4 linked regions of the Danio rerio genome follow. The protein of the gene in region 1 purifies or fractionates together with the protein of each later gene. This does not show direct contact. Links are inferred from orthologs where the notes say so. Each region holds a gene or a part of one and is shown in the gene's direction. Other genes may lie near its edges.

Region 1 (5,967 bases):
TTCCCTAAATGAAACGGTGAAGGTAAACATTAACATGAACATCTTAATAAAGGAATAAACACATTAATTGTGTTTGTTTGATGAAATTCGTATTAAAATTTGTTTTATTTATAATGTGCAGAGTATATTTATAATGTTTTTATGCAAAGTATATATTTTGAAGAGGGGGGAAACAATAAATCGTTGTATGAAGGCTGTAATGTTTAATTAATTTCCAGTTAAAACGCGTAAAGGTCACATGACCATCAGGAAGAACGCAGCATCCCATTTCTCAAAGGACGCGTTCTCTGCCCTCGCGGTCTCCTGAGTTCGTTCTTCCGAGGACAGCTGGCAAGACCGCACTCTACAAGAACGCAAGTCCATTCTCTGCGTTCTTTGGAATTGAGAAACAGCCAATGTCCGATCTGCCTGAAACTTCACATGGTTGATTAAATTCTTCTCTTGAACATATCCCCATACCTATATTGAGTTACAGTCATAGCGCCACCTGCTGACAGAAGGAATTTTACCTTATAACTTAACCACACAATGTCTGATCTGCCTGAAACTACACATGGTTGATTAAATTCCTCTTCTGAAGACATTTAAAAGCCAATATTGAATCTGTCATAGTGCCACCTGCTGGCAGAATGTAGTTTGGCTTATAACTCAGCCACACAATGTCTGATCTGCCTGAAACTTCAAATGGTTGATTAAATTCCTCTCCTGAACACATCCACATAACATAATTGAGTCAGTCATAGCGCCACCTGCTGGCAGAAGGTAGTTTGGCTTATAACTCAGCCACACAATGTCCGATCTGCCTGAAAAATCACACGGTTGATAAGACTCTTCTACTGAAGGCATCTACATAAAAATCTTTAGTCACAATTATAGCGCCACCTGCTGACAGGAGGAAGTTCGGCATAAATCTGTGATTTTCTCTGGTTATTTATATATATCAGCTTAAATTAATGTTGTTCGCTGTTCTCTCTGTCATCCTGAGGCTACCGGGCGGCGGTGAGCCCGGGTGCGAGGTCCCTATCATCGCTGCTTGCAGCTTTAATTTTTTATTATTTTTTTTCCTCTAAGGCAGATTTTCACAAAATCCATTTTCACAAATCCATTCCTCTTCCCTATCCCCAAAATTTCTCAGAGTTCTAAAATTTGGACTGGCACAACCATTGTATTAAAGATATTGTCTTAAATCTGCAAATTAACCCTTAAGATGTTTTGTGAATATCCCCAGATCTCTAACTGTGAGTCTGAAAGTCTGGCTTTGAAAGACTAGTGTGTAAAAGCATGTGAAAGCAATCACTGGGTGTGACAGAAAGCACTCTATACACTCGTTTTTTAATACACAGATTCTGTTTTTCTAGTGCCTAATGGTATCTGTTTATGTGAACCATTCAATTCTTCGGTAAGTATTTGGAAATGTGAGTTTTCAGAAAGTAACATATTAGTAACATAATAAATTAATATAATAAACTAACATCTATCAACAATAAGTTATAACATCACAGCAAGTTCTAAATACAAGTTCCATATACAATATAGTGTCAAAAATCATACATTTGCGCTTTATTGAAATATTGATGAAACTTCTAAGCATATTGTGTTGCTGTGTTGCTTGTTAAGTTACTTGTGTTCATAGAAACATGTATATTGAAATAGTATCCCCCCCAAAAAAAACACAAATCTACTATGGAGAGTTGATGGAATATGAATGCTTAATTTTTTTTATTGTAGCACGAGCAGCATAACAAATAAACTGGACTCTTCATAATTATTTATTGATGAAGAAAAAAATAATCCAGTGGGTCAGGGAATGTTGAGATAGATATTAAACAAAAGGAAAAGCAGTAGTTGAAGAAGATAAATCGTCTAGAGAACTTTGTCTTGAGTAACATTAAGCAGACTGCAACAGGTTTTTTATGCTTAAAATCAAAGATTAACCACATTATTATTAAATATGTTAACATTATATCGCCCCAAGAGGTATAATATGAAAGATGGGTTGCAACAGTAGTGAACATACCTGACAAAATTTCTCTCTGAAAGTCCGAGAAAAAGAAAGGAGGGGGAGGGGGGTCTGGGTGTGGGGTTAGTTGGGGGTAAAATTATGGGAGTTTTCCGGGAGAAATAACAAAATGGGAGCGTGGCAGAAGATGGTAGTGAATATGTATTCACTGTTACTGTATACTTAGAGTGCATCCAGAAAGTATTCATAGCACTTCACTTTTTCCACATTTTATTTTTTTTACAAACTAATTCCAAAATGGATTAAATTCATTTATTTTCTCAACATTCTACACACAATACCCCATAATGACAATGTGAAAAAGATTTTTTTTTTAATTGTTGCAAATTAATTGAAAATAAAAAACTTGAAAAATCAGATGTACATAAGTATTCACAGCCTTTGCCGTAAAGCTCTAAATTGAGCTCAGGTACATTCTGTTTCCACTGATTATTCTTGAGATGTTTCAGCAGCTTAATTGGAGTTCACCTTTGGTATATTCAGCTGATTGGACATGATTTGAATATAAAAGTTCCCAGGGTTGACAGAGCATGTCAAAGCACAAATCTAGCATGAAGAATTGTCTGAAGACCAACATTTTTTAATTTTCAGGGGGCTAAAAATTCTCCCTTGTTATCAGTATTGACACTAACATATATATATTTTTAAAAATTGCCTGGTTAATTAAAAAGTTCAACTTAAAAATCTGATTGGCTTGTAAAATATATAATTATTTGTAATATGTATTTAGTTTTAACAGGACTCAAGTATAGATTCTTTGCAAAATCCTGAAGGGACTGAATACACATCTGCTAAACAAAAGCCCCCATAACTTGAAATTTATGTTACACACATTTTTCTAAAAGTTGCTTAATATAAATGATATATCATTTTTGCCCAGGTACGCAATTCACCTCTATGACCTGATGTGTGATAGTTCCTGGGAAGGTAAAGAGGTCTTTATTTATTACACAGACTTTGTCATGGAGATGGGTATTCTCCTCCTAGATATGATGCACCACATCAACATGCTGGTGAGACAATCATCTTTTTTGTTAGAAAATATTTCATTTATTTAAAGCAGTGGTTCTCAACTCCAGCCTTGGTGAGTTATGTCTGCACATTGTGCATGTATTTCTTAAATAACACAACTGATGCAAATAATCTAACCATAAACAATGAGCTCCATTAACTGGACCATATTTGTCCAATTAAAAAGACAAAATTGAAGTTGAGAACCACCGATTAAAGGGGTATATGTGTGGCATTGCCAAACCCGTGATATTAGCGATACTAGTAAACTGCAGTCAGCAACTTGTACACTCTTCATGTAAAAGGACTGAGTGTGATTGAGTTCCTTAATATACTTAAAAAAAAAATACTTTAATTTGTAAGAATAAAGAGGTTGGAAACATTTTGCAGCAATATAGTGATGATGAACACATATGCACCCCATAGTGATGCTAGTTTGACATTTAACATAATTTTTTTTCTCAATATCAAAATAAGCACAAGTTACATAATAGTATTACTTTTCTTATTAATGATTATAAGTAATGCATTATTTTAAAAAAAGAATAAGTAAAATTATTTAAGTTACTTTAAAAAATTTTATGTGAGTTACTTTTTAGTTGAATTAATTAGCTTTTAAAAAATAAATTGCTGCATTCTTGGAAAAACTGAGAATTTTCAAGTAGACTTACACTTTGTTCGATTACTCTGTTTGAGACTATGAACTTTAAAGCTTTGTGAGACTGTAGATAATTAATTATAATTAATTATCTTTTTTTCTAAAACATATTAACATTGAAATATAGTTTTTCTTTCAGCATTATCCTCATTGCATAACAATTTGTTTCATGTGTCAAAAAAGAGAAGTTTCTAATTAGAATAACATGCTTCATAAGTCCAAATCCTAATAGACAACCTAGGAAATCAGCCAAGGTCTTGTCTCAAGAGTTTCATTAGAAGCTGTTTACACACTGACAAAAGAGCTAATAATCTATGATAATCCTTGCATATAGCTCCTTTAATAAATAATTTTACAGGATTTTTTTGCTAGTAAATAATATAATGAATAGCACTAATTATCCTTGATTTTTGCCTGTGTTTTTCTTTTTCAGCTATATGGGAACGTTTGGTTCTCAGTGGCTGATTTATTTATACTGACACACATACGATTCTTGGCAAAAGAAATGCAGCGCAAATTATTTCAACACAAGAACTACATGCACATATATGATGTTATGGACACAAGGTATGTTTTACTGCTAAGCTTTTTTATATATCTCTTTTTGCAATATCAAAATAAATACTAAGACAGTCTGAGAGTGTGTGTGTGTGTGTGTTGGGGGGGGGGGGTGGACATGGAGGGCATTCAGAAGAGAGAAATGTCAAATTTAATGTCAATCACATGCAATTTTGCTGCCGTGTTTTTTATATAGGTAGTACTAAAGTGTATATCACTGCAAAGTACCAACACAAACTTGTACTGTTGTAAATGTAAATTAATTCATTAATATATGAATATAACAAATATTAGAAAACATTGTCTTTTTCACATTGTTAATTAATGTTTCTTCAAAGTCTTTGAAAGGAGTTGATTAATATTTAATGGTAAACATGAATTTCCTGAAATGTCAGTGTAAGTTTCGCCCCTTTATTATTGTGCTGTATGTTAATTTATTTGTATGTGTAAATAAGATAACTGCTATGCACTGTGTTTTGGTAATTTGCAGTATTAAAATGGGAAAAGACAAGCTTATAAATCATAAAGTCTTTTCTTTTGGCAGGTTTTCAATGGCTACAATGGAAGAGCTGGCATCTCGTGATGACAGATGTGTTATTTGCTGGGAAAAGATGTACACAGCATACAAATTACCCTGTGGCCATCTATTTCACAAGTATGAAACAGATCATGTGTTTACTTTGTTCCAATAAATGACTTTACCACCCTAGGGAATGACATTAGGTAAATGCGAGTTCATTTGAATGGGTCGTGTATTCATTGTTTCTGTGGAACAGTCATTGTTCTTTTGCTAATTAAGACTATACGACTATAGTGAACATGTTTTGTTGTTTCCCAGGTCATGTCTGCGTTCCTGGCTTGAGCAGAATATGTCATGTCCTACATGTAGGATGTCTGTAAATATGAGTGGCGGTCATACTGGAAATGAGCAGGAGGGGGCATTGTTCAGTTTGGGAGCAACTGATGTGCCTAGCAGACCTCCAACCAGATACCACAGTCAACTTTTTCATTTTAATGGTAAAATTAATAAATACTTTTAAAACTAGTCAATGCATTTATAAAATATGCTCTATAATGAAATTCCACTTTACACACCATTCAAACTATGTATTCCTTTGACTTAATGCTGTATATTTATGTACTTTACAGGCTCGTTTTCTATGTTTTTTTAAGAGATCATTGCTTTAAAGGGGAATTGTACACTTTTTTTCTACAGTCACTCTTTTAGCAATCTTCAAAATAGTGTTTGGGTATCTATTGGAAAATGTCTTACCTTTTGTACAGTAGTTAAACTTTTTAAACTTGTTAAATTTTTCAGGTTCTCAAATTTCAAACTGGCTGCCTGGCTTTTCAGTTGAAGTTTTGCACTCTCCTAATTTAATTATTCTACTACAGGCAGACGACTCTCGGGTAAATGTTGCTATGTACAATGTCATAATGAATTTATTAATATTGAAATTATTGTGTATTGTATTTATGATGTACACTAGAGGTCAAAAGTTTGGAGTCAGTTTTTTCATGTTTTTTTTATTATTATGATCATTAAGGTGGCATTTATTAAATGTAAAAAAAATGTTAAATTGTTAAATATTTATTTAATAAATATTTATTTATTACTTATTTTATGTAGTTTCAAATGAAATTATTACTCTAGCCATTATTGCTTTTATTGTTATTAGTATTTAATAATAATCTTATTGTTAATAATAATAACAATAAC
Region 2 (6,549 bases), about 6.0 Mb from region 1:
CTTAATTCCAAACATGCTGTTTTAAAAAAGTTTTAAACTTATAAAAATCACTGAAAGTTGTAACAGATATTTTACTCCCAATTTATTTGCAAAACTCTCAGACTGCTTTTGAACATTCCAACATGTGCGTACTTATAGTCTGCAGGAACCTTAGGTCTTAAACAGACTTCAGTATTATGACATAATTCCAGCTGAAACAGAGTATTAGAGAAAAGGGTTTCACTTCAGCGCTTTACTTTATTAGCCGATTATTAAGAATATTGTGATTTCCAAAGAAGCGTCTTTCCAGAGCAGAAGCTAATGGAGTGGAGATAGACACGTTTACATGGAAATCAGTAATCAAATTATTTCTGAATATGGCAATATTATGATTAAGGTGTTTATGAGTAGCTTTTTGAATGTTCCTTTCATGATCCTGTTTTACATGTTATAGCACAAAATTCGATTATAACGTCATCACGCTATCCACATTTCCACATTTCCTCCGGAGTAATGTAATTTGATGTAATTTCGGGTGTTTCATTTTTAATTTGTTGACTTCAACTACAGTTTGACTCTTTCACTTTCATTCAGGAACATTTCATTCATGCCCCCTGTGACAAACAAGATATTGGATGAGATTAACAGCTGGAAGAGTGTTGTTTTAATATAATTTGATATCGCAGTTTGCCATCTTAATTAACATAAACAAAGAACACTGATCGCTTACCAAAACTAGACAGGACAATCAACATCAACTAGAACCGCGTTTTTTTTAAAAGAAGGAAAGCGGCAAATCTGGATTTCACCATTTCCAGATGTGAAAAGCTCATCTGGTAAAAAAAACACTGACGATCCATATCTCCAAACAATTCTTCTTCTACTACTTGTTTTAATTATGGTTGGTCATCTGGGCACTGTAACAGGTAAAAACCGTCTTTGAACTATATCATGCATATTAATGAAGTTGCACCTCATTCACAGTAGAGCGCGCTGATTGGTTCGAACCAAGTCTTTGTAATGAATTTATGCTGAAAACTCAGACATCATGTTGTACCGGTTCAGACATCCAGTCTCCATGCTGGAATTTACACTATGATCTCATGGCCGTAACGCAGCTTCAAAATTTCTTTTTAAATCTGAAGAATGAATTGGCTCAAATATTGCAAAACCCACCAATTTTCACTTTTTTGTGAAATATATGTGTCCTAATAGTGTTTTAGCAACGTGAGTCATATTTATGATTGTCAACATCTCAAAAAAATGTGTTTTGGTGTTTCGTGACTCGTTAACATCCACAGCACGTTTCCATTGCACATAAGTTTCTCTGTTGAAAAAAGGTTCATTAATGTGTTTAGGATGTCTTTCACACCAATAAAATAATGCTTCTTTTCTGAACTTTCATCAACACAAAAGCTTTTTAGATATCAAAAATGGTTATTTTCTAGCACTGCAACGAAAAGCCCATTTTGGAACCTTTATTGTAAAAACAGCAGCTAAAGAGTTGTTGACAGTCATTCTTGACAAGGGGCAAACATCAGACTCATTTATCTGGTGAGGAGTGGTTCCACTGAGGTAAGAGACTGAACTCTGTTCTGCTCTGAATCAATAAACTATAAGTACACAAGTTTATTTACAGTGGGGGAACAGCCCACTGAGCATCATGACCTGATTTCTTGTTTTCAGTCTCACGGACACGTACTGCACGCTGTCACGTATAGCCAACAAATCCGCATTATCTCATACACTTTCAGGGCCTGTTCACTCATAGTGAACTAAAAAAAAGTTCATATCAGCAAAAAGCTTTCTTGTCTGTACCCTGAAAAGATTACAAATACATTTACCCAACAAGTAGTTTGTTTTGTGCAAACAGGAGAACAGCAATATTGAACACTGAGAAAATCTCGAATCAGTGCTGTATTGCTTAGTTACTGAAAAGGATTTAGCAAAGCAAGGTCATTAAACTTAACCAATCTAGAAGTTTAAGACTTTTCTGCATGACTCTGGCATAGCGTCAACACACACACACACACACACACACACACACACACACACACACACACACACACACACACACACACACACACGCACACGCACACACGCACACGCACACACGCACACGCACACACACACACACACACACACACACAAGGCGAACAGCTGATGGCGAACATCAACAGCGCGTGTCTGTCAGAGAGGGGTGGCGCGCGTTCGCGTCATATGGCCCGCCGCACTCTGATTGGCTAGAGAGACTCACCAGACATGACCGCGCTTGTTTTCTGCAGAGGAAGCGCGCGTGTGGCAGTGTTCAACTGAGGGATGAAAAGAGGCAGCAGTATTTCTCTTACAGATGATGTGATCAAACAACACATCTAAACTATTTGTAGGTAGCCTTTCGTTTTTGTAAAAGAGTTTTGAAAGCACAGACGTGTTCTGCTTTAGACGAAGACATCGCTAAAAGATCAAGGTGGGTAGCCTATTCATTCCCTTTACTTCCACTTCATACTCATTGGGAACAGATTGTTTTTTGGGCTACAGCACTGCTTTTTGTAGCGTAATACTTGACTTTCAACATTATTTTATTTGATCAAGTTAGTGATAATTATTAATGAGTATTACTGTTTTCCAACAGTGCCAAATGCCAAGACTAGAGGAACATTGTTGGAGCTGCTCCTGTTCGACCAGTGTGAAGACGAAGGACCTGTCAAGCGCCGGCTGGATTGTCTGTAAAACGGGTGAAATGATGTCCATCATAACCTCAGTGCTGAGCCACGCGTACGGCTCTCTGCACAGCCTCCAGTCCGCCAATTTAATTCGACGGGGGCTTGTGTTGTTTATCGTGGGAGTTGTGCTCGCTTTGGTGTTAAACTTGCTACAGATCCAGAGAAACGTTACATTGTTTCCAGAGGAAGTGCTGGACACGCTATTTTCGTCCGCCTGGTGGATTCCCCTCTGCTGTGGCACCGCTGCTGGTGAGTCTGTCTGAAACACTTGGGCTCGAATGCTTTGTTCGTGACGATAACAAACAAAGACGGTGTGCTTGCTGAGGGCTTTTTGTTATCGTGTCTTTTATGTAAGATGAGTGATTCGGGGACAGTTTTGTTGACATTGGGCTTTGTAGCTATCAGTAAGCGCTGCCCTGGTAACAGCCGGGCATTTGGGGTCATTCTTGGGGTGCTGCATTCTCATTGGCTGCGCTCAGAACGGGTGAGCTGCGAGAGAGGCACGCCATTGGCTGGTACGCCGAACATGCCACTTACCCGAAAAGAGAAACACGGAAGTCGTGTGCAGCAGAAATTAATAAATAATTCGGTCACGCTCGACTCCTCCCCCTGCATTCCTCATAGTGGTGATGTGGACGCGTATCAGTTTACATCCTTTTCAGTAGAAAATGCCTTTTAAAGAGTTTTGTTGTACTTGAACTCTTCTTATGAGATTTATTTAAACACAAAAGTCATCACCCATTATTTATATACTAAAAGGCGTCAAACAATACCAAGCAGATGTAAAAAATGTTTTTTTCTTCTTCTTTTTTCCCCCTTTCAATGAATGTTGTTTAAAGTACTTTCTGTTTTCTCTTCTCAGCTGTGGTTGGTCTGTTGTACCCCTGCTTGGACCACCATCTTGGAGAACCACACAAGTTCAAGCGGGAGTGGGCAAGCGTGATGCGCTGCATTGCTGTCTTTGTGGGCATCAATCACGCCAGTGCTGTATCCTTAACAGTGACACTTTTACAGTTGCAACCATTGTGGACAATGAAAACTTCCAAACCTTTTTGAGATTTTTGTTTTAAGTCTGTAATAAGCCATGTTACTATTCAATAGCATTAGACAAATCCTTTTTTTTCTTAATCTCTTAACTGTCACATATTTATTTGTTTTTGTCTGAACCTGAATTTATCTTGACAAATTATACATCAAAGGCTAAACTAAAAAAGTGGGGTGACCCGTTAAAGTACTAAACATATTTACACAGCAATAATCTATGCAACGAGAATTATGCTTATCTAATATTTTTAAAAAGTCTTATGTATTGAGGATAGTTGTAATAACGCTGAAAAATGACTAGAAATGCTCAGTACTCTGACCCGGCCAGAAGTTGAAAACTCTGCACACGATATCATTTAACCTTTTTTAAGTTTTGTTTTGACGACTCTGAGTCTGTGTTTTTGGGTAAATGAACAGCAAAAATGCATAAAAGTTTTTATTTTTTGTTGTCATGTAAATATACCTTAAAACTTTACATTAACTCTGAACTCAAACAGTAACATGCACTTCATTGCCAAGAAACCCCATGTAAATGAGAACTGGGTTTTTTAAGAACTAAAAAAAAAAGTTTTTAATAAATTTGACTACAAAGTTTTTGTGGAACCTGTTTACTGCTCTCCAAATGTGTGGACCAGCAAAAACTTGGGAACCTGCACAAACTCAATTCTTGAGTTAACATCACAATGTTTTCAAAATGTATGTTAACATAAGAATATTTTGCTTAACTCAAAGTACCTTACAGAAACTGGACTTTGCTAACAATGTGCAGCTATCGCTAACTCTGGCTGCCCTGTCTCTGGGTCTGTGGTGGACATTTGACCGCTCCAGGAGTGGCTTTGGTTTAGGGCTGACCACTGCCCTGCTGGCCACTCTCATTGCTCAGCTGCTGGTCTACAACGGCATCTACCAGTAAGTTATGACTCAAACATGTTGACAAACAGCAACAGAAAACTGTTTTCATATCAACTAGCAAGTAACTAACACTCTCACATATTCATAATTTTAGTCGTAGAACATGTTTTTTTTGTAAGAAACATTAGCAAATATTATATCAAGTGCAAACACTCAGTTTTGTTTTTCCTTTAAGCAGCTCGTCATTTCAGTCCTTTTCTTCATTTGTTACCAGGTATACTTCTCCAGACTTCTTGTATGTCCGTTCATGGCTGCCTTGTATATTCTTCTCTGGCGGAGTGACTGTTGGAAATATTGGCAGACAACTAGCTATGGTAAGAAACTGCCCCTCATACCAGCCCCCTTTTCCAGTCTTTCATATTCCACAGAATAACTGATGTACTTGATTACTCATGTATTGTGGTTAGTTTCCTCTTGTGTTATGCACAAAGCCAATGGCCACTTTTGTTTAGCTTAAAATAAATAAATGGCAGAAATGAAACTTAGCTTTAGCTAAAGCAAAAGTGAAACTCAATATCTTGGCTCATCAGCTATTCAGCTGTTCCTCTTCTACTTGTATCCAGCCTGCGTGTTTTAGGAAGTAAATCAAACTTGGAGCCAGAATATTTAACTCAACAATTTCAATGTGTACAATTTAGCATGCAGCCGTAAGCTCTGTTCAGACAGGATTATTTTCTAAATGACATTAAAAGACAGTCATTAAAACAGGACTTGTGGCTTTCATAAACTGATTCCAATTAGGTTGGGAATCAAGTTTAACATTAGCAAAAGGAAGTGTAAAGATGGCTTGGGTTATTGTATTTGATGAAGGTAAAACTATCTAGATGTGAACAAACTAGGTAGCTGAAAAGTGGCAGGCAGTTTGTATTGTAATATTCATTTATACTTATAAAAATAAGCTAACTAAGTTTTAAATCTGCCTTAAATAAATGAAAACTAGGATTTAGGATTTTTGTGCATTCTCTTAAATATGTATAAACTATTTTCAGTATCCAATGTATTTCTTTAAAGCAACCAGTTTACCATTTTAGTGTTCTTTTGACACCCTCTAGCGCCTGAGCAGAAACGTCATGCTTGGACATCTTAATTAGCTTGTTTGTGCCATCCCCTCCAAGCCTTCTCAGTCAGCTGTGGCTCTTTGTCTTGCTGACATACCCTAGTTCTTTCTCAATAAGGGCGTGAAAGAAGATTACGCTCCTTGTTTTTCATGCTAATGGTCAGAGAGATGGTAAACAAAGTGCTTTACTGGCTCCAAGTGGTGCATTCTACACGTTGTTACTGGATGCTTTTTGTTTTCGAGCTGGCATCGGCTGATTTTGCTTGACCAATTGGGATTAGTGCTCTGCTAGTATTTTTCCCAGCTTTCTTTATGGAGGGGCCAGTTAAGAGATAGAGTTGATTAAAAAAACTAGAGGTAAATAAATCTAGTAAACCCGGACGTTTGCGTTTGTTAATCTTTTCATGTAAATAATGGCTGTATTTTAGAATACAACTATGATCATCAATTATGGTCACTCTACATAGTTTGGTTTAACATCTGACTAATTAAATAGTTCGATATCTAGTTTACACCATTAACACCTTTACCTTTTTATCATCGTCATTTCGTTGTGTACTGTAGGTGCACTGGAATCATTTAGAGAACATTGCCTGTATATGAAACGTTGTCATTTTTATTTCAACATTAGCTTTCCTAAAGACGGATTCAGCTGCCCTTGGGTGAGGCATGGCAGACAGTGCTGACCTACGAGGGGCTATCAAATTTTACAAGGCTGCCCATCCACATATAATCCTAACATATACAAAGCCCATTTCTTATATATAGTGCATACTAATTATGGCCACAGTGTTGAGAGGCCAAGTGGGTTTAACGGGATCAGGCTCAGCTTCA
Region 3 (4,761 bases), on another chromosome or scaffold:
GCAGATGCTGAATATTACACCGCTGCAAAATTTGCTGAAGCCAACACGGTAAATAAACCACAACTACAATTTAACAAATCAGATTTTTTGTTGTTGCTCTGTTTGTGTGTTTGTGTTTTAGTACAACTTATGGGGCTAGATGTTTAGTAATACATGCTTGCGTTTAAAACCTGCCAACATTTTCTAGAAAAGATGTTGCACCTGACTTTCTCCAGTTCAAAGTTGGGAAAATGAAAGGATACTGATAATTCAAGTTTTTCTATTCACATTTTAAGAAGATATGTAAAATGGGTTAGTAGTAGCTCTAAAATAATGTAAAACATGTACTGAAATGATAGACATTATTTTAGTTTCCCTCACTCCGAAATAGAGGGTTTTATTTAAACTGTATTTAGAGTAGTTAAATTAATTGAAACTCTACATATATGTGTCCCTGAGCCACAAAATGTTGTGTTGTATGAGTATGTATTTGGCAGTAGCCTAAAATACATTTTAAATTACCAAAATCATTACAATATTCAGTAAAGATCATGTTTCATGAACATATTTTGTAAAATGTCTGTCTGTAAATATATCAGCTTTTTGATTAGTAATATTCATGGCTGAGAATTTCATTTGGACATTTTTAAAGGTGATGTTATCAATTATCAGATATTTATTTAACCTTGCGATTCCTGATTTTTATATAGTTGTATCTCAGCCAAATATTGTGGATGCATAAATCCCAATTTCCAAAAAGTTGACTGGTTTTGTGATCCAGGGTCGCATATAAAACAAACAGAAGGTTTAGTGGAATTTACTGTAAACCACATCAATTATAAACATCAAGCATTTTATTACTCGTAAAGCAGAACTGAAATTTAGCATTGTCTGCGAAATGTGCTACACAAACACCTACATCTTAGTAGAAAGAAATTCAAACACTGGGCATGCATGTTTTGCATGCTAGATGTTAATTGTTTTATTTCATATTCTGGAAAATCTATTTCGACAAATGCATGAAGGGAGTTTTTTTATTTTAAAGATGTTTTAATATGTTATTAAGTGCATTAAGTTAGAGATAAAGTACATCCGCTGGGTTATCACCTCAGATTAAAGCCGGACTGGCTTATAAGTAGGCCCACACGGAATCTGCACGCTCAAAATTCCACAGATTTTCCGCAGATTTTTAGCCCATCATTGATTCTGTTTATTTGCTTTAGTAAATGTGTGTAAATCTAAGTTTATTTAGTTTTTAAATTAATTACAGTAATATTATTGACTAATATGAAAATGTTCATCTGATTAATGTCTTTTAGTAGATATATTATATGAGACTTGATAATTGGATTTGCAATTTAAACATTAAATAAAAGATGGATTACTTTTTAAGGTTTTAGTTATGATACTCCCAAAATAATTCCGCAGAAATCCAGATTTTAAGCAAAATTCTCAGCAGAATTAGCAAAAAATGTCAGCAGATTCCGTCTGGCCCTGCTTATAAGCAGTCTGACGCAAAGACTCAAGGGCTTTGTTTCTGTAAAAAACAATCCTCCTGGATTTACTTTATGCTGCTTATTGCATGGCTACTTGCCACAAAACATGACAATAAGACTTTAATTAAACTGACAAAAACTAAAACAGCTAATGGACTATACACTAACTTGTACATTATTATTCAGTCACAAGATGCTGCCAGACAGTCCAAAAAATTATGCTGACAGAAGTGAAACCGACTGAACAAACCATGTACCAAACTATACATTATTTATTCAGAAGATGTCGCCAAACAAGTTTAAAACCACAGCAGTACAAACAAGGAGATCTATTTAAATGCAGATTTAAGGATTTGAACTTATTCACTGACGCTCAACGATTCGAAGATCCCATATGAGCCTGTATTATTTGTTAACTCTGAATAACATACCTTGGAATGTCACGACTGACCAATCAGAATCGAGTATTCCAGACAGCCGTGTTATAACTCTGTTTAACGTACAAGTTTAAATCAGACACTTAACTGTTGCTTTGTTCACTGTTTCTAAATTACATACACCAGTCTAGTCTGATAAATTGATTAAAAAAAAGAAACTTAATAAAACCACATACTGAAGTACTTTTTTTTTCAGCTTGCACAAACCTCAAACATCATTCAAGCTATGCTATGTTACGAAAGCTCTTCTAGGAGTCTGTAGCGTCTACCTTGAACACACGAAGGCACATTCCACACAGGACTAGCTCAGATCGTTCATCAGACACTTCTCTGTCTCCCTCCTCCACAGCTCAAGCTCACGCCAGAGTATCTGCAGCTGATGAAGTACCAGGCCATAGCTGCCAACAGCAAGATCTACTTCGGTCAGGACATCCCAAACATGTTTGTAGACAGCAGTGCCTCCCGTCCGGCCGCAGGAGAATCCGAGCAGCTGGAGTCCTTGAGCATGAGAGAGAGTCTTAAGAAAGCGTCCAAGCCCAAAGCCTCAGAAGGCCACTGAAGGGCCTGAGATCTGTCCACCCCCTTCTTCCTCTCTCTCTTTCTCTCTCTCTCTCATTCTCTGTCTCTTGTTTTGGGGCAGGGGTGCTTGTGAGGCATGCTGACATGGATATTTTCCCTCTTCTGCTGCAGTGGTGTTGGGTGCTTGGCTCGCTGAGGAGACTGACATACAGAGCCTTTGGTTTTCCAGCAGTCATTAGTGGACTAAATGGTAACGTCCAGCAATTGTGCTATTGATTATCGCCAGATTCGAAGCTAAAATGTTCCTGTTTCACATCAGCATGCTTTCTTCCCCCCTTTTTTTGTTGCTCAGCTTTCTCTTCTCTTTTACAGATCCATGCTAATTATTTGTTAGATGCAGATGCGTCTGCGTAAAGTATGTGAACATTTGGAGGTTCATCTTTTGTGTTGTCTTTTGAAACTGGAATTATAAGGCATCACACTAATTAGAAGGCAGTGAGTGGCTTAAAGGGATAGTTGACACAAAAGATGTTTTGAAGAAAGCTGAAAACATGTAACCAATAACATTCCATAGTAGGAACAACAAATACTATGGAAGTCAGTGGCTACCAGTGTCCACCATTTTTTGGAACTCAAAAAGGTTTTCAACAAGTAAATGATGATTGAGTTTTGCGTGAACTATCCCTTTATATATCTACAATATGATCAAACTCATTTTGCAGCCAAACTGTCATCTTCTTTTTTTCATATGTTGTTAAAGGGATGTTTCACTACACCTCTAAATAGTCATCATTTGTTCATCCTCAAAGCGGTGATGCTTTCTTTTGTGGAACATGAAAAGATAAACTACATTTTTCAATATCTTTTTTTTTTTTGTCCATACAGTGCAAACCAACAGTCTCCAATGTTGAACTTTGCTTGGATCACTTTGGTTTTAATTAAATGGACAAAAATAATTAAAAAATAATAACTTTGTTTCCAAAATAAGTTAAATCCAGTCTGGAATGATGTGAGGATGAGTAAGCAATGACAATATTAAATGTTGGTGAGTAGTCCTTTTGCAAAAGTGCTCATGTCCATCATCACTAACTTGATAAGCACTAAAATCTTAATTTAGTTGAGCCAAGACTGCAAAGATCAGCGGCTTTTATATGTTATTAATTATAATTCTGATTATTATATGTTTGTAAGAATGATCTCATTTTAAAATCATCCCTTGCTTGAGTTTTGTTGGTCTTCAAGATGAAGATTTTTGACATCATTGACGCCTGAATACTTTTGTTGTGAATTGGATTTCATGTAATGTCAGAAATAGTGGGTTGTGGTATAGTGTTGTGTAGCATGTTCATTTGTGGCGGCCCTGTGGATTTTTCAAGTTGTTGGGTTCATACTGAACAGGGTTTCATACAATTTCAGATTTCATTTTCCAGGGCTTTGACAAGCAATGAGATTGGATTGCTTTCGGATGGTCGTGTATATATAGTGTAGTGACTAACAAATGCCTTTCTGACTTTAGTTGAACTTGTTTATTTGGTCATTACTGGAATGAGTTTATTTCAAAGGGAATTCAGTAACAATAAGGGCTGCTGTATTATTAGGCACTGTCAAACATTTAGCATTATGATGAGCGGGTGTTTATACTGAGAAGTGTCACCACTAGGGGAAGCCAGTGATCTTCAGGAACTACAAGAGTAGGCAACAAACAGTTAAAAAACGTTGTGGTTTAGCTTTTCTTGGAAGTTGTCAAATCTGTATAAGTTGCAGTCATATGCCAATAATAGCAATGCATTGCATCAAATCATTTCGAATAGCGTCTGTCAGTACTATCTCAGGAAAAGAGACCTGCGTGTTAACTTGAATGGCCTGTTTTTTTCTTTCTTAGAAAACAATATAAACTTGACTGAAATTTGAGTCGGGTGTCAGTTTGTGTTGATTGTGTGAATCTGTCACACGACATGTTGATTTTTCATCATTTGCAGACTGGTCGATTAAAGAGATGAGCACTGATTTAATACAGTTAGTCCGATTGTTGATGCTACATCCTGTTGCTTTTGCCATTTTCCCTTTTAAAGGGATAGTTCACCCAAAATTCTGTCATTTACTTGTGCTCCTAATTGAGTTTGTTTCTTCTTTTGAATACACAAATGAAGAAACACTGAGGAATGTTGAAATAAAACAGCCATTGAATTCCATAATAGTTTTTTTTTTTACTATGGATTTCTGTGACTGCTTTCTCCTCTCAACATTCTTCAGAATATCTTGTTTTGTGTTCAACTGAAGATAGAAATTCCTAAAGGTTTAGAACCACTTAAATGTGAGCAAATGATGAG
Region 4 (6,064 bases), on another chromosome or scaffold:
AATTTATTTATTTATTATTTTTATTTTAGTTAGTGGAGGAGTCAGAGAGAGAATTGTAGATTAGGGTGAAGTGGAGACTAAATAGTTGAGTTTTTAGTCGTTTCTTGAAGACAGCGAGTGACTCTGCTGTTCTGATGCAGTTAGGGAGTTCATTCCACCAATTGGGCAGATTGAGCGTGAGCGTTCGCGAAAGTGATTTCTTCCCTCTTTGAGATGGAACCACGAGGCGACGTTCATTCACAGAACGCAAGTTTCTGGAGGGCACATACATCTGCAGAAGTGAGAGCAGATAAGAAGGAGCAAAGCCAGAAGTCGATTTGTAAGCAAACATCAGAGCTTTGAATTTGATGCGAGCAGCAACTGGCAGCCAGTGCAAACGGATGAGCAGTGGAGTGACATGTGCTCTTTTAGGTTCATTAAAGGCCACTCGTGCTGCTGCGTTCTGAAGCATCTGAAGAGGTTTGATAGTTAGCTGGAAGCCCGGCGTGTAGAGAGTTGCAATAGTCCAGTCTGGAGAGAACAAGAGCTTGAACAAGGAGTTGAGCTGCATGTTCAGATAGGAAGGGTCGGTCCTTTCTGATGTTGTAGAGTGCGAATCTGCATGATCGAGCAGTTCTAGAGATGTGGTCAGAGAAGTTTAGTTGGTCATCAATCGTTACTCTAAGGGTTTTCACCATTTTGGATGCAGTAATGGTTGCCCCATCCATCTGTATTGAAAAGTTATGATGTAGAGTCCGGTTGGCAGAAACTTCATGCATTTCTGTTTTCGTGAGGTTAAGCTGAAGATGATGATCTTTCATCCACTGTGAAATGTCTGACAGGCAGGCTGAGATGCGAGGCGGAACCGAGGGATCATCAGGGTGAAAAGAGAGGTATAGCTGGGTTTAGAGGTTACATATGAGGGCCGCTGATCGACGCACAGCTTTAATGGAAAGAAAGTGAATTCAGACATTTTTAGATAAATTTCAACATGCTTTCAGGATTAAAAATATGAGAGAAATATGGGAAAATACCTAATAATAGGATATAATGGTAAAATACGGGACAATCCATGGGAACGCAAAACATCTATGCGAGGGAACGCAAAAACTTTCAAAAATATGTCTACCTATCACCTTTTTTTTTTTTCTCCCACCCATTATTTTTTCTTTCACCATCACGTCCCTTCCGGGTCTCCGTAGAAAAGTCATGGAATTTTAGTAGTAAAAATGTGTATGAACCCTGTATAGTATGGTTGAAAAACACTGCAGTATTTTCATGTGGGCAAGCTCAGGTTACACATTTACAAACAGTTTAGTGACCGCAAAAGAATAGGAGACTTACACTATCACATTTTTCTAAAAACTACTGATGTTTACTGATGAAGTAGCAGGTTCGATTCAAAGCTGTAGTAAACCTCCAGAAAACGACAGGCATTCACAAATAACGTTCAAGACATTTAGAGTTTATTTGTATTAGTACGTTGTTGTAAAATCTTTATATAATTTTAAAATGACATTAATATAACTTATTGCAATAATTTCTGACACAATATACAGCAAAATAAATATGTAAAGTGTTGTTATTATTTATAGTGACAATATTATATAAATATTATTTCTAGTATACATCAATGTTTCCTATAATTATACATGCATAACGTGCATTTAGCTGTAGTGAATATTAATAATTACAGAAATTTAGATTTTTTTCTGAATATTTTTATTACAGAATTACTTCAAAAAATATAAATGGATAGTTTTTCTTTCTTTAAATTTAAATAAAATAAACATTTTCTCTTTTACAGGGTTTAATAGGTTGGAGTTACTACTTGATAATGCTTCCCTTCAGGTTTACGTATTATACACTTCTGGACATATTCAGGTATTACATCAATTGATCTTTGAAATATAAATGTCGACCTGAATTATATTACATTACTAATGTTTTTTTTCTTGTCTTTTTCAGGTTTGCCCTGAGATTCATTCGACCAGACCCGAGGGGTCGTGTCACAGATCCTGTTGGAGATGTCATGTCATTTATTCATAGTTTTGAGGAGAAATATGGTCGATCGCATCCTGTATTCTACCAGGGAACATATAGCCAGGTATGCTAAAGGGCTCCTATGATTATGCTTTTCACACTAAAGCAAACCAAATGTGCAAAATGATGTTATTTGAGCTTGAAAATGATTGCAAAATTACAAGACTCATTCTAAATGTAGTTATTTACTGTATTGTTAAAAAACATTTTTCCCAAGATATAATTCCTGCACAAGGAAAATGTTGCTGTATTACATATGTAATTCACTGATACTCTTGTGTTTACATTCAGACATAATCAACATGTAATATACAACTTATTATAACAATTGGTTTTGTGCGACTTTGGCATAAACATTTGTATTTGGCAGGAGGTAAATTAGAATTAATACTCACATGATTGTCTCAGGTTAAAATGTACCTGTTTAGTGCTGAAATAACATATTTTAAATTTACAAGGGCTTAAAATGTGTGCAGATGTTTTGCTTGTGGGTTCTAGAGTAACTCAGGCACAGGCTGTAAAGGCTCCGCCCTCTTTTGAAAAGGGGAATGGGCAGCAAAAGCTCATTTGCATTTAAAGAGATAACGTTTAAATGTAGTGATCTAAATGCTAGACATTTGCAGCATGATATAATAAATTGTGGGCTGATATAACAATTTTGAGCTGAGACACTTGCTGGGGACACCTGAGAAGAGCATAATGGGGCCTCAATACAAAAAATGATTACACTTTATTTTACGGTGCTCTTGTTATCGTACATACTTATTATTAATTAATCTAATAATTATTAATTATTAATCTATCTATCTATCTATCTATCTATCTATCTGTCTGTCTGTCTGTCTGTCTGTCTGTCTGTCTGTCTGTCTGTCTGTCTGTCTGTCTGTTTATTACAGAATACTTTATTATTAATTAATTAAATGTACTTACTATATGTTATGGTTGGAATGTGGGTTAACCCCTTCTACAACTGATAGGTGTAAACTATAAAATGAGCCTTTTATTATGGATGTGAGCCTTTTACCATCTCATTGGATAGAAACAAAACAACAGCAGAAACATCTGATAAGAGTTTTCTGCGGAGCTTAGTAAACACAATGGTTTGTTTGTAGTAAGTGTAAAATAGTGTCTCAAAAGCAGATCTTTGGGGTTAAGCTACTTAAAGACTGACAGGTTAACATTGATGCTGATGAACTGTATTATTCTTACACTGCTAAATAAGAAGTGTATCTAAAGAGCTTGTTTTTTTTCTAGGCTCTGAATGATGCCAAGCGAGAACTTCGCTATTTGTTAGTTTATCTTCATGGAGAAGATCACCAGGACACTGACGAGTTCTGCCGGTGGGTTTACAGTGACGTTCTCCACTATTCACATGAAGTTTCGTCTCCTGATCTTATAACTGGAGCTGGTGTGTGTTTCTCTTTCTCAGATCCACGTTATGTTCAGAAGAGGCGCTCACCTTCATCAACACGAGGATGTTGTTCTGGGCATGTTCCACCAGCAAACCAGAGGGTTACAGAGGTGAACCAGCTGCACTTCATATTGTCTAATAGTCTAATAGGGACTAAAATTTAGTCCCGCGCAGATCTCTACATCACAACAGCGCAGGTTCTAATTCGTTCTGTTCGCTGTTGATGTATTCAGTGTGATGTCCCACATAAATCTTTAACCATTACCTGTTAGCATTAGTTTACAGGTAGATGCATCCATTAATGATCAAGCATGGTGGATTGCTAAAGCCAAAAATGCCAGAGCTGCAGTGCAATATCATCCTGCATTCTCATTTTTGTTTTACCTTATATCTTTTATCAGCCCTGGATGAGTGTATTGTCATGTTGTCGTGATCATCATGCCGTGTGTTCAGTCTCTCAGGCCCTGCGTGAAAACACCTATCCATTCCTGGCCATGATCATGCTGAAGGACCGGAAGATGACGGTGGTTGGGAGACTGGAGGGTTTAATCCAGCCGGAGGATCTGATCAACCAGCTGACCTTCATCATGGAGGCAAACCAGACATATCTCATGTCAGAACGACTAGAGAGGTACGGATATCACATGGTTTGATTTGTTCAGTATTTAGTGTTTTTGCTTTCAGCAGTAACATTTACATGATGCTGAAATAAACTGGACTGAAGCTGTTTCAATTTACCAATACTTCATCTGTTTTAAGCTGCAATCTACATTGTAAAAAGTGCTATAGAAATCAAGATGAATTGATTTTTGACTGTTCCGCATAGTTGTGAGAGGGTCATTTATTCTTTACATGTGTTTTATATGCATACTACATACATACAATTATAGAAATGATTCTCAGCCTTTTTTATTTCAAGAAAGAAGTTCATTAGCACTTCATTTTAGTCTCTGGACTCTCCTAACTTTTTAATGCTAATTTTTCTTTTTAAGCAAATTTAATGCAGAATTGAAACATTTAAAAAATGGAAATTTTCAGCAGATGACCTAAATAACTCTGTGGAGGGGATGTTTTTGCATCGGAACAAATAATTTAAGGCTGTTAAAATGGCAGATGTTTAAAGGGTGATTTTAAAATTTAGCTTGGCGCTGCATCGCGGACCTCCGCTGACTGCGTGCACACCTCATGAAACAGACGAGGATTTTATACTTGACGTGTTCGCCATTTTGATATTCTTACAGGGGGCGGACAAAAGAAACCAACTGAAAAAAATCAGATGGATAAACAAAGATGTTTCTGGAACTACGTCATATCATAAATATCATTCAAGATTTAACTAATTATTTTAATCCCTTTTATAAATTATTTTATTGATTATAAAGATTTTTTTTTATCCATTCAAGAATTATTATTTTTTTTTTTATCAAACTTTGATGCGTCACTTGCTTTTGTTCATATCTCAGACAGTTTAACCTATTAAAGTTAAGTATTAAAATATTAATGACAACAGAACATGGGTTACTCTACAAATATATATAAATGTATGTATGTATGTATGTATGTATGTATGTATGTATGTATGTATGTATGTATGTATGTATGTATGTATGTATGTATATTTTTATGTTATATTATGGAAAGCATAAAAGTTATATGCTTAAAAGGCAATAATGGTCCAACGTTCCTGACCATTATCACTAATAATGCCTAGAAAAGCAGGACATTGGTGTTTTGTAAACCAATATGTTCAAATATACTTTTCCAGTTAACAAAGAAATAATTGTGTTGCTTCATTTTAGTTTTGTAACTATTAAATTGTTTTAAATTCATAATGCAATATACACACATCAGTGTAAAACCCATGAATGCTGAAAAAACATTCTCCACACGGGTCTCCACTTTTTCCATGACCTCTCTTTTTGGTTTAACAAACTTTATCAAAAACTTTCCTCCTTTCATCCTTAGTATTTCTTTCGAAACCATTAGCACTATGAAATATGCCGGTAAATATCATATCATATATAAGAATAAATATCATAAGTAGAAGAAAAGAAAATCCAAATCTCTTTGTCAGAGTTATCATATGACACATTACCAGTATTTTGAAGTCAGTTACTAAAGGTTTAAAACAGAAGTCACCAATCTCGGTCCTGGAGGGCCGGTGTCCCTGAAGGGTTTAGCTCCAACTTGCCTCAACACACCTGCCTGGATGTTTCAGGTATACCTAGTAAGGCCTTGATTAGCTTTTTCAGGTGTGTTTGATTAGGGTTGGGTTGCTAAAATCGGCCCTCCAGGAACAAGTTTGGTGACCACTGGTTTATATTTATGATTTAATGACAACGAAAATTGCACAAAATAATAGAAATTTAAATGTTAATTTTAAAATAAAATATTTTTAATCCTTTTTAATTTCAATGCATGCTGCAGTGTAAATACTGTTTAATTTCAAAATAACGACAATGTTCAAATTATGCTCATACATATGGCAAGAGGAGTCATTTTTATTTTGATATTATGCTGCAGTAATTAAAACGAACATTAAAATAAGCTAAAGCATTCAAACATTGTTTTGTTTTATGCAATCGGGAATTTAGAACCACTACTTTAATAAATACTTCTTTATTTAATTGA

What was found.
Region 2: the proteins of amfrb (region 1) and insig1 purify together in Homo sapiens (affinity purification with western blotting; 6 studies listed by BioGRID and IntAct, with this or other methods). This does not show direct contact. The link is inferred for Danio rerio from reciprocal best matches to the Homo sapiens genes AMFR and INSIG1.
Region 3: the proteins of amfrb (region 1) and erlin1 purify together in Homo sapiens (affinity purification with mass spectrometry; 3 studies listed by BioGRID and IntAct, with this or other methods). This does not show direct contact. The link is inferred for Danio rerio from reciprocal best matches to the Homo sapiens genes AMFR and ERLIN1.
Region 4: the proteins of amfrb (region 1) and faf2 purify together in Homo sapiens (affinity purification with western blotting; 9 studies listed by BioGRID and IntAct, with this or other methods). This does not show direct contact. The link is inferred for Danio rerio from reciprocal best matches to the Homo sapiens genes AMFR and FAF2.

Annotation. Positions count from the first base shown.
Region 1 is NC_133182.1:35,371,244-35,377,210, forward strand, and holds part of amfrb (E3 ubiquitin-protein ligase AMFR-like), read left to right. Parts: intron 1-1,358; coding exon 1,359-1,399; intron 1,400-2,900; coding exon 2,901-3,033; intron 3,034-4,122; coding exon 4,123-4,256; intron 4,257-4,791; coding exon 4,792-4,902; exon of another isoform or gene 4,903-4,970; intron 4,971-5,085; coding exon 5,086-5,264; intron 5,265-5,565; coding exon 5,566-5,657; intron 5,658-5,967. UniProt on the Homo sapiens protein: E3 ubiquitin-protein ligase that mediates the polyubiquitination of lysine and cysteine residues on target proteins, such as CD3D, CYP3A4, CFTR, INSIG1, SOAT2/ACAT2 and APOB for proteasomal degradation.
Region 2 is NC_133182.1:41,358,510-41,365,058, reverse strand, and holds the start of insig1 (insulin-induced gene 1 protein), read left to right. Parts: upstream 1-2,287; 5' UTR 2,288-2,446; intron 2,447-2,611; 5' UTR 2,612-2,617; coding exon 2,618-2,951; intron 2,952-3,564; coding exon 3,565-3,689; intron 3,690-4,304; exon of another isoform or gene 4,305-4,488; coding exon 4,489-4,655; exon of another isoform or gene 4,656-4,872; coding exon 4,873-4,972; intron 4,973-6,549. UniProt on the Homo sapiens protein: Oxysterol-binding protein that mediates feedback control of cholesterol synthesis by controlling both endoplasmic reticulum to Golgi transport of SCAP and degradation of HMGCR.
Region 3 is NC_133188.1:27,918,141-27,922,901, reverse strand, and holds the end of erlin1 (erlin-1), read left to right. Parts: coding exon 1-48; intron 49-2,261; coding exon 2,262-2,471; 3' UTR 2,472-3,304; downstream 3,305-4,761. UniProt on the Homo sapiens protein: Component of the ERLIN1/ERLIN2 complex which mediates the endoplasmic reticulum-associated degradation (ERAD) of inositol 1,4,5-trisphosphate receptors (IP3Rs).
Region 4 is NC_133189.1:56,136,599-56,142,662, reverse strand, and holds part of faf2 (FAS-associated factor 2), read left to right. Parts: intron 1-1,786; coding exon 1,787-1,863; intron 1,864-1,947; coding exon 1,948-2,086; intron 2,087-3,276; coding exon 3,277-3,362; intron 3,363-3,451; coding exon 3,452-3,543; intron 3,544-3,886; coding exon 3,887-4,064; intron 4,065-6,064. UniProt on the Homo sapiens protein: Plays an important role in endoplasmic reticulum-associated degradation (ERAD) that mediates ubiquitin-dependent degradation of misfolded endoplasmic reticulum proteins.